Macaca fascicularis: one gene and its partners. The protein of the gene in region 1 purifies or fractionates together with the protein of each later gene. This does not show direct contact. Links are inferred from orthologs where the notes say so. Each region holds a gene or a part of one and is shown on either strand. Other genes may lie near its edges.

Evidence for each region.
Region 2: the proteins of IFT22 (region 1) and IFT57 purify together in Homo sapiens (affinity purification with mass spectrometry; 3 studies listed by BioGRID and IntAct, counting the BioPlex papers as one, with this or other methods). This does not show direct contact. The link is inferred for Macaca fascicularis from reciprocal best matches to the Homo sapiens genes IFT22 and IFT57.
Region 3: the proteins of IFT22 (region 1) and IFT25 purify together in Homo sapiens (affinity purification with mass spectrometry; 3 studies listed by BioGRID and IntAct, with this or other methods). This does not show direct contact. The link is inferred for Macaca fascicularis from reciprocal best matches to the Homo sapiens genes IFT22 and IFT25.

Annotation. Positions count from the first base shown.
Region 1 is NC_088377.1:49,966,364-49,968,742, reverse strand, and holds part of IFT22 (intraflagellar transport protein 22 homolog), read left to right. Parts: intron 1-283; coding exon 284-373; intron 374-2,285; coding exon 2,286-2,379. UniProt on the Homo sapiens protein: Small GTPase-like component of the intraflagellar transport (IFT) complex B.
Region 2 is NC_088376.1:174,868,417-174,872,676, reverse strand, and holds the start of IFT57 (intraflagellar transport protein 57 homolog), read right to left. Parts: upstream 2,851-4,260; 5' UTR 2,749-2,850; coding exon 2,537-2,748; intron 1-2,536. UniProt on the Homo sapiens protein: Required for the formation of cilia. Plays an indirect role in sonic hedgehog signaling, cilia being required for all activity of the hedgehog pathway.
Region 3 is NC_088375.1:180,729,824-180,734,223, forward strand, and holds the start of IFT25 (intraflagellar transport protein 25 homolog), read left to right. Parts: upstream 1-1,550; 5' UTR 1,551-1,764; intron 1,765-1,890; exon of another isoform or gene 1,891-2,079; intron 2,080-2,188; exon of another isoform or gene 2,189-2,575; intron 2,576-4,400. UniProt on the Homo sapiens protein: Component of the IFT complex B required for sonic hedgehog/SHH signaling.

The sequences.
Region 1 (2,379 bases):
CCAGGCTGGAGTGCAGTGGCACAATCTCGGCTCACTGCAACCTCCACCTCCCAGGTTCAAGCGATTCTCCTGCCTCAGCCTCCCCAATAGCTGGGATTACAGGTGCCCACCATCATGCCCGGCTAATTCTTTTATTTTTAGCATAGCGAGGGTTTCACCATGTTGTCCAGGCTGGTCTCGAACTCCTAACCTCAAGTGATCTGCCTGCCTCAGCCTCTCAGAGTGCTGAGATTACAGGCATGAGCCACCGCACCCAGCCTACTGCTCTTCTTTTTCCTTTTAGGATCCTGGAATTTGAGAACCCGCACGTTACCAGCAACAACAAAGGCACAGGCTGTGAATTCGAGCTATGGGACTGTGGTGGCGATGCTAAGTATGTTTCCTTTAAAGAAAGTCACTTCATCAAATGGTTTAAAAATCAGCTGCCCAGGCCAGGGGTGGTGGCTCACACCTGTAGTTCCAGCACTTTGGGAGGCCAAGGGGGGTGGACCATCTGAGGAGAAGAGTTCAAGAGCAGCCTGGCCAACATGGTGAAACTGCATCTCTACTAAAAATACGAAAAATTAGCCCGGTGTGGTGGCGGCCACATGTAATCCCAGCTACTTGGGAGGCTGAGGCAGGAGAACTCCTTGAACCCGGAGGCGGAGGTTGCAGTGAGCGGAGATCGCACCATTGTACTCCAGCCTGGGTGACAGAGCTGGACTCCGTCTCAAAAAACAAAACCAAACAAAAAAAATCAGCTGCCCATCAGGCACCATGAAGTTGGGCCTAGCATGTTTCCTGGCACATATGAGGAGCTTGATAAATTATTTGCTGACATGCATTGCTTTATACACTTCAGTGATTAGGTTATGATGCAGTTAGAAGTCATCAACCTTGGCCAGGCACAGTGACTGACGCCTGTAATCCCAGTACTTTGGGAGGCCGAGGCAGGCAGATCACCTAAGGTCAGGAGTTCAAGACCAGCCTGCCCAACATGATGAAACCTCATCTTTTAAAAAAAAAAATAGGGGCCAGGCACCATGGCTTACGCCTGTAATCCACTGCTTTGGGAGGCCGAGGCAGGCAGATCACCAGAGCTCAGGAGTTTGAGACCAGCCCGGCCAACATAGCAAAACCCCGTCTCTACTAAAAATACAAAACTTAGCCCAGTATGGTGGTGTGCACCAATAATCCCAGCCACATCAGGAGACTGAGGCAGGAGAATCACTTGAACCTGGGAGGTAGACGTTGCTACTGCACTCCAGCTTGGGCAACAGAGCCAGACTCTTACCTCAAAAAATAATAACAATTTTTTTTAAATGAAGAAATCATCAACCTTTAAAAAAACTAAAATTGGCCTGATGTGGTGCACACCTGTAGTCCTAGCTACTCAGGAGGCTGAGGCGGAAGGATCGCTCGGGCCCACGTTGGAGGCTGCAGTGAGCTATGATCTCACAACTGCACAATTTTAAAAGACTGCCCAGCCATCACCCACCTCCTACTTTTGTTGCTGTTGGCAACAAAAAGTAGAGCAAGACCCTGTCTCTTAAAAAAAAAAAAAAAAAAGTCATCAACCAACTGTTTCTTTTTTGTTGTTGTTGTTGTTGTTTTGGGATGGAGTCTCGCTGTGTCACCCAGGCTGGAGTGCAGTAGTGCAAACTCAGCTTGCTGCAAGCTCCGCCTCCCGGGTTCATGCCATTCTCCTGCCTCAGGCTCCCGAGTAGCTGGGACTACAAGAGCCCACCACCATGCTCGGCTAACTTTTTTGTATTTTTAGTAGGGATGGAGTTTCACCGTGTTAGCCAGGATGGTCTCGATCTCCTGACATCGTGACCCACCCGCCTCAGCCTCCCAAAGTGCTGGGCTTACAGGAGTGAGCCACCACGCCCAGGCTGTTATAGACCAACTTTTAATACTAAGATATTCTTTTTTTTTTTTTTTTTTTTTTTTTTTTTTTTTTGAGACGGAGTCTCGCTCTGCCCAGGCTGGAGTGCAGTGGCGCGATCTCGGCTCACTGCAAGCTCCGCCTCCCGGGTTCACGCCATTCTCCTGCCTCAGCCTCCCGAGTAGCTGGGACTACAGGCGCCCACAACCGCGCCCGGCTAATTTTTTGTATTTTTAGTAGAGACGGGGTTTCACCGTGGTCTCGATCTCCTGAACTTGTGATCCGCCCGCCTCGGCCTCCCAAAGTGCTGGGATTACAGGCGTGAGCCACCGCGCCCGGCCAAGATATTCTTTTTAAAGTCCACAGTTAGAAACCAGAATGACCTGACTTTCCCTCTTGTTCCTTTTCTTCCTCCCAGGTTTGAGTCCTGCTGGCCAGCCCTGATGAAGGATGCTCATGGAGTGGTGATCGTCTTCAATGCTGACATCCCAAGCCACCGGAAGGAAATGGAG
Region 2 (4,260 bases), on another chromosome or scaffold:
GGGGGTGTATGTGAAATAATGCAAATAAGTCTATAATAACTAATAGGGCCGAATTCACAACTGTCCAACAATCTTTCTTCCCCCCAATGGCCATCAAATCAAAAGGCCTCGATAATTCACCCTTTCAAGTTTCCAGTAATCCACAGCACTCACATTAAATTTTTAAATCATCAGGATTAGCGCAATTACTACTGTACTCAAAATATGAGATCAAAGACCTTACACCCGGGAAATGTAGTGCCTGTTAGAGCACAGAGCATGTAGAGTTTTTGTCAAAATGATTTAAGTGTCAGTAATAATATGTTAGTACCTTATTAACGAAAATGGTAATCTGGAAGAACCTCAGAGTTTAAAAGAGATCTCAAAAGATTACTCATTATGCATTTTTACTCTTTCTAACCTATCACCTATGGTAAACATTTGTTTTTATCTTGGCTGCATATTCAATCACCTGAGGAGCTAATAAAAATACTGGTACTTGGCCAAACATTGCTTCTTCCCTCATGAATGAATTAAATCAGAACTTCAGTGAGTGTAGGCCCAGTATGGGGTATATTTCAAAAGCTTTCTACATGTTTATAAGGTGTAGTCAGGATTAAGAAACTGTGAATGTCACATCACCAATCTAAAAATCATCTGTGGGCTCTTGCTTAATCCCCTGGTCTGCTAAACACAGTTCTATGAGGATCAGTATGATTTATACCTAAACATTATAGGAATAAAACTCACTAGCAACAACATTCAAGTCAGTTTAATCAAAGATCTTATTTTTCTTGTTCATGTGTAGCTATCATTATTATGTTTGCAATGTATTTACAACAATTATAATCATTGTCATAAAAATCAGTCGTGTACTCCTTCATGTTTCCCAAACTTTATCCTGCAGGATAAGTGTAAACGTTCTGGAAGATAACAGAAAGCTGGGAAGAAAAAAGGCCATGAAGTCCTTCCAGGTATATGCTAACTATCCTTTCAAAGCATCCACCCACCAAAAAGTCATCTTTTCGTTATTGGCAGATAACTCCTCTAGAGCACAGGAATGAACACCAATAGATACTGTAAACCTAGGACAGTGGTTCTCAAATATTAGTGTCCATCAGAATCATCTGGAAGACTTACTGAAACAGACCACTAGTCCCCATCCTTATAATTACTGAAAAGGTAGATAGACCTGGGAAAGGGCCTGAGGCATTTCAGTTCTAGTAAGTGCCCAGGTGATGCTGATGCTGTTGGTCTGGTGATCACACTTTGAGAACCATTAGACTAGGATATTCCCACACAAATCCATGATTCAAAGTGTCCTGCTGAACCCCTGAAGACACAGAGATGACATCAACAGAACCTTAAGGTCATTTTCTTTTCATTTGAAAAATACACTTGGAAAAAAATGCATTTTTATTAATACAGGAAATGTTGGTTGTCTATATATCCTGATCGATTCACTTTAATAATCCCAGGACTACCTTTTCTAACATGGATCAAGCAACACTACTTTTTTCCTTTATCTTTTCTCCGACTATGGACTAATTTAATATGAACAGTTTACATAAAGCCTACATATCTTTCAATTCAATTTATTGGAAGAGAGCAGTGGAATGAGATTAAAACTATCAAGGGAAATTATTTGAGCCTGGCTGTAGACATTAAGTACTATAGATTCTTACTATTGATTGCCTTTTATGGAATAAAATAAACGTAAGTATTAAAGTGAAAGAAAAGCTATAAAACTGATTTACCTGGCTACTGCTAAGCTACAGTGATTTGAGGAGAAGGTCCTAGCCGACCACTACCCTCAGCAAGTAATGGCACTGCGTTCAGGATATGTTGGACTTCTCCCCCACCGGAACAAGGGTAGAACTTTAGGTTCTATGATAGGAGACAATTCAATAGTTGTCATTCGTCTTTTCCACTTTTCAGTTTCTGAGAGTATGGTTATTGCAAAGGCAGAAGTCTTTTAAACCATAGCAAGTAGTTAACAAGTTTACTAGCCGCATTTAAAGCGCTCCTTAACAGGGTCGTAAGTACCCACGGTCCCCAGTTGTATAAACAGGGTCTTAAACAACAACAACAAAAAAACCCCAAACTAGAAAAAAAGCCTTAAGTGATAATGGCATTCCTCTCTGGAGACGAGATTTTGGGCGGTTTTATAATTTTTCTAGACATTTTCTTGTGTTTTTCTGAGTTTTCTACAATGAGTATTTGTTTTATCTTTACAATCATAAAATACAGTTTGTGTTTTGTGGTAATGCGTGTGTGTTAAACAACAACAACAACAACAAAAAAACAGGCAAGCTGTCTTCCAATCCTTTCTGCCGTTCCAAAACTTATTTATTCTCTCTACAAAAACAGCAAGTCAGGGCTGCGTGAGCTCCACGGACCTCCCCGGAGTTTGGAGTGAAGTGCCCTTCTCTGGCTAGGCAGACGGAGGCAATGAATTGCTAACCCGCTCTCACGGAATTGGTTCCCAGCAGGACCAAGGAGGGCATCTCCCTGGAGGCTAGCAGGCACCCAGGCGCTTGGGGACACCGGCACCCACCTGGACGGGGCCTTCAGGTTGCTCTTCCGGAGGAACTCCTCCTCGTAGCGGAGCAGCTTCAGCTTCTCCACCAAGTCCTCCATCACCACGAACATGTGGTAGGCCGCGCCGGGCCCCCGCTCCACGACCACTTCCCCGGTCCCTTCGCCACGGGACCTAGGCACCCCATCTTCCAAACCCGACGTCGTGACGACGGCCAGGGCAGCAGTCATCGCAGGACGGACAGAGTGCAGCGTGGGCTCAGGCCCACAGACCTCTGCGGCCTAAGCCGCCAGCCCTGCAGCAGCCAGTACAGCCACGACCGGTTACCAGGCGACCACCGGACAACCCGTCACCAGGGAAACTAGACTCCGCCTCCTTCCCTCCAATCAGGGCGGCTTTCCTGAATGACGTCGCCCGTGGCCCGCCTCTTGCCCTGCCTCCGCGGAAATGGTGGTCGGGAAGCAGCACCGCCCCTCATGGAGGCGTGGTGTTCGCGCCCCACCCCCCGCTGCCTCTCCTCCCTCGGCTTCTGGAAGACTGAGGAGAGGCGGCTAGTGACTCTGAGCTGGCTTGAGGTGTGTTGGACCTGGTGGTTGCTAAAGGCAACTAAGCGGGCATCTGGGTCAGCTAGTAGCTGTTAAAAAGATTAAAGGGAGGTGAAGACGTGCAGTATTGAAGGCTGCACTGGCCCACTGATACCTTTATTTTCTCAGAATTGAGAAGCTGTTCATAGTTGTAAAGATAGTCAATACCATAGGTTTCACTTTTACTGCAGGAACTTTCCAACAAGAGGTTTCTCTCGTTCTTTCTTTTTTTAATTTTATCTTTCTCTCACTAGGCAATGCTGCACATAACAGTATACTGTAGAGCTTGAAGTACTGTATTGCATTGCCTGGCTATTACTCCAGTGCTAGGAAAGTGGTTGGAAGGATGAGGAAGAAGACAACGAACAAAAGGAGGCATTTGGGAGGCTTTGTTTTACTTCAAAAACAAGAATACTAAGCTTCCAGCCTGCTGCTTAATCTGTTTCAAACCCATAACATGTAGTATAAAGTTTTTGGGTACTTCGTTAAATCCAGCAGAATAGAGATGGTCTTAAAAGGAATTTCCCTGCCCTAAAGCTCTAAGTGTGGCTAAAGATAGGGTGTTACTACTGTATTCTGCAGTTATTGACCTAGAAAATTCAAGAAAAGGTACATAACTGACCACAGAAATGGCCCAGCTTTACAGTTTTCAAAAGGATTGTGTATCGGGCAATTTTCTTAACAGTTGCAAAAAATGAGGTAAGTGGTGGATGCCTGGCAGTTTTTTGGAAGAAAACTTAATACAAGAGATTGAACATATATGTTCGTGTTTATAACGTGACTTTCAAGGGCTCACTGATCTCTTTCTTGTGTCTGCCACTACAAAGTATAGAAGGGCCACATTTTTGGATAACTGAAATTTGAAATGTATCTACAATATCCTGTTTTTGTTAGAAAAATGAGAACACACTTTTCATTTTAATCCGTCTACAGCTAACTTGTTTCTGATACTAATAAGGTTATCAAAGTGAAAAGTCAGTAGGGCAAATACCATTTGCCCTATTCATTAAAGAAAGGAAGTATTTAAAATTACATTCATTAAAGTATTCATTAAAGAAAGGAAGTACTTAAAATTACAGACTTGTGTAGAGAATAACCTGAAGCGGAGCCCACTGAGAATTGCTTTTTAAATAAATAACATTGCTTGCCTAGCACAAG
Region 3 (4,400 bases), on another chromosome or scaffold:
CCACCTGTTTGATCCCTCTAGTATTCACTGGTTGAAGCCTGAGGGGAGGGGGAAGGGATAAGATTGAAAAAAAAAAAAAACGAAAACCGGTGCACATCTAGGGAAAGAGCTGGTGGGAACAGAGCCAAGACAGTTACAACGAGGCCTCCCTTCTTCCCTCTGCCAGGCCCAAAATGAGCTACATCTATATACCAGGAGAACATCTGCCAGCCCATGGCCTTCATCCCAAGGCTGCCCACACTTAGTTTATCTGAAAATGCAGTATTCTTGGGAAAATTTCTAAATAAAAACCTGAACAGAAACTAAACTGTGGGTAGTTCTAAACCAGCAATAACCAACAATCCACCTTCATTGTTCTGTGTGTCCCCATTCTTCAATTTTCAACTTTCCTCACTACTTTTTTCCTATAATATGCACTTTACTGCCTTCTCATCCATACCTTTTCCTCTCTCAGGCTCCCTACTGCCCCCCAAGAACATGCCAATCTCTCCCACAATGTGACTCTTAACAACTCTAGCGCTTCTCACACCAAAAATCCTAACCCCACTCCCTTCGCTCACCTCAGCTCCCCTGCCCGCCTCAAGCCTCAGACCCTTCCAGCCCTTCCGTGCTCCTGCTGAAAGGTGGCTTGCTTGTTCCACAGACCCAACCCTTCCAACCTCCAATCTCCCAACCTCCACCTGCCTCCCTTTCTTTCCCCAACTCCTCCACCCCCACTCCTTCCCTCCACCATCTATTCTTCCCGTCTTCCCACTCTAGGGGCTTCCCTCTCCTAGGCCCCCAATCTCTCCAACCCTTTCCTTGCCTTCTGTTCTCAATCTTCAAGACCTTCTTCCTTCACGCCTATCCCTAACTTGGCATTCCACACCCCCAACTTTTCTTCCCTGTCCCCAAGACCCCACCCTCTCTATTCCTATCCTAGCTCTTTTCCTCCTTGAACCCCTAAAATCCCATTTCCTTTCCCCATTCCTTCTTCCCGCTCTCTCCCCACGCATGCCTTCGTTCCGCTCTCTCCCCACGCGTGCCTCTCCCCGAGTCCACCCAGGCTAATCCTGCTCCCTATCCCACCCCGGCCCCGAACCCCAATTCTCACACGTCCCCATAGCCTGCCCCCGCACCCCTACGCCACCCTTAAATCCATCGTCCACACCCATATACCTCATCCTCCCCTCAACCCGCGCCCCGCCGTCCCTCTCGGGCTTCCCCTCCCCCACCCCGCCGCTCCCTAACACCCCGCCCCCGCTCCCACACGCAACCCGGGGCCCCGCGAGCGGCCCGGCCCGCGGCCGCCACCTACCTGTGCCCCTGCCCGGGGCAGCGAGCGGCAGCTCCTCTGTGGCGGCTCCCTCCTCCCGCGGCGCGGCTGACGGGGAACGGCTCAGCACCCCGGGCACAAAGCTAGGGAGGGTGGGACACAGCGAGGGTGGGAGGAGGGAGAGGGCTGGGGGCAACCAGGCGCTGTGGGACCGCGGGACCGGCGGGGACGGGGGCAAGGCTGGGCCGGGGAGGCGCGCGTGCGCGGGCCCCGGCACGAAGGCGGGGCCGGGTCTAGAGGCGGGGCCGGGCCCCAGGCAGGCGACCCGAGGGCCGAGGGTTTGGAACTAGCAGAGGTGGGCCCTGCGCGTGCGTGCTCGCGGGAGGGCGGATCCCCTGGGTCCTGCGGGCCCCAGGGATACAGCTGAGCTGGGGGAGGGTAGGCAGCGCAAGTCCTGGGACTGCCCTGGGAAAGGCGCTCGGGAGTGGTTGCGCATCTTGGCCCGCGAAGTAATGGGAGCTGGAGAAGGCGGGGTCAAGGGCGGGCGGGGCCTGTGGGAGGCGTGGCGCGAAGAGCTAGGGGTAGGAGGGGCCGAGGCCGCGGCGAGGGGGCGGGGCTGAGGCGGGGTGGGGCCTGTGGGAGGCGTGGCGCGAAGAGCTCGGGGTAGGAGCGAGCGCGCCCGGGAACTCTGCGGAGGCCGCGGCGGCGCGGGGGGCGCGGCTGAGGGCAGGGCGGGCCTGTCGGAGTCGTGGCGCGAAGAGCTCGGGGTAGGAGCGCGCGCCCGGGAACTCCGCTGTGGTCGCGGCGAGGGGGCGGGGCTGAGGGTGAGACGGGGCTTGTGGGAGGCGTGGCGCGAAGATTTCGGAGTTGGAGCGCGCGCAGTCCCGAACTCCGCTGAGGCTGCGGCGAGGAGGCGGGGCTGTGGGTTGGGGCGCTCTGCGTGGGGCGGGGCGAAAGGGAGGTTTCGAGCCAGGAAGGTACGGCGCCCAGAACTAAGGGGAGTCCCAGGCGAGCGGGCCGCGGGGTGGGCAGGCTGGTACCAGGGGGTGTGGGGGCCTGGCCGGGCAAGGCAGAAGGAAGGGGATGCTGGTGGGAAGGGAGCAACAGTGGAGGGTGGTGAAAAGACGAGCAACGGGAGGCGTGGAAGGGCCGTCGCGGGAGGTCTGACGCGGACCCGCCTTCTCCTCTAGACCCTGGAGGCGCCAGTGCCAGGCCTCGAAGCTCTTTGAGGCCAGAAATAGCGTCTTGACCACCAAAAGGGAAAACCAATTGTAAATCGAAATTAATTAGCCTACCAAAATGTAAGCTGTCAGCCGCAACGTAAGCCATCTAGCTATGAATTGTACTTAAGGTCGGGGGCATTTATTATATTCTTTACATACTTTGGGGCGAGGCCTCCACAAGTCTGAGGCTCTAGGGCCCTCGGAAGTCTGTCTCCACAGGGCCTGGGACTGAGGAGGAGGGTTTGGGATGGAGGTGAGAAGGTGGTGCCAGGGCTGGTTTGTCTTGGAAGCGGTGGCCTTGTCCCCGCGGAGACAAGCCGTAGGCCAGGTCCGCGTTTTCTAAAGTACACCACGTTCCCAATGGATGGTACTTGAAAGAGCATGAGGAGTCCAGCTGTAGCACCAGAACCAAGGGGGCTGGTCAGGTTGAAGGTCCTCTAAGGACTTGACCTGAAGAGGTTTGGAGAAAGAAGGACCACAAAGGGCATGTGAGCTAGCGATGAAGGGGTGAACTGGGGACGAAACCAGTGGCCCTAATTTGAAAGACAGGATAAAGCATCAGGGAATTCCAGGGTCAGGGATTGTAAAAAATGGAAAGGATAGCACCCCAGAGTGTACCACCTTTGGTAAACTGCGGCCCTGAGGAAATTACCTTGTTCTGAAGGGGTGGGGGATTAGACTACCTCCCAAACCTGCACTTTTGTTTTGTTTTTTGGAGACATCATCGCTCTGTAGCCCATGCTGGAGTGCAGTGGCGCGATCTCACCTCACTGAGCCTCCGCCTCTTGGGTTCAGGCGAGTCTCCTGCCTCAACCTCTGGATTAGCTGGGATTACCGGCGCCCGCCACCACACCCGGCTAATTTTTATATTTTTAGTAGGGACGAGGTTTCACCATGTTGGTCAGGCTCGTCTTGAACTGCTGGCCTCAAGTGATCCGCCTGCCTGGGCCTCCCAAATGCTGGGATTACAGGCGCCTGCCAACAGGTCCGGCTAATTTTTGTAGTTTTAGTAGAGGGGATTTCGAGGTTTCACCATGTTGCCCAGGCTGGTCTTGAACTTGTGAGCTCAAGCTGTCCGCCCATCTCGGCCTCTCAAAGTGTCAGGATTACAGGCGTGAGTCACTGGCGTCATTGTATGTATTTCTCTAAGGTTGGTTGTCTCTTGTCATTAACTGCAACAAAAGATAAAGAAAACCCAGTCTCTGCCATTTCTACTTAAGTAATTCTACCCAAAACAGGAAATAGGGAGGATAATGTTGAATATAGAAGGTGTGAAATGAGTTTTGCATTAAAGCATGTGTTTGCTTCTCAGAAAACTTAAGAATGTGAGGTAAGAAAAGAACTGAACACTTGGGAAGTACATTCTTTCCTATTCATCTCCATATCAACCCTGAAGTGTAACTCTTTTTTATTTTTATTTTTTTTATTTTTATTTTTTTTTTTGAGACGGAGTCTGGCTCTGCCGCCCAGGCTGGAGTGCAGTGGCCGGATCTCAGCTCACTGCAAGCTCCGCCTCCCGGGTTCACACCATTCTCCTGCCTCAGCCTCCCGAGTAGTTGGGACTACAGGCGCCCGCCACCTCGCCCGGCTAGTTTTTTGTATTTTTTAGTAGAGACGGGGTTTCACCGTGTTAGCCAGGATGGTCTCGATCTCCTGACCTCGTGATCCGCCCGTCTCGGCCTCCCAAAGTGCTGGGATTACAGGCTTGAGCCACCGCGCCCGGCCATCTCTTTTTTAAAAAACAAGTTCTTGACCGGACACAGTGACTCGCTCCTGAAATCCCAGCACTTTGGGTGGCCAAGGTGGGCGGATCGCTTGAGCTCATGAGTTAGAGACCAGCCTGGGCAACATGGCAAAACCCTGTCCCAACAAAACAAAAAAATGAGCCAGGCTTGGTGGTGCGTGCCTGTAGTCCCAGCTAC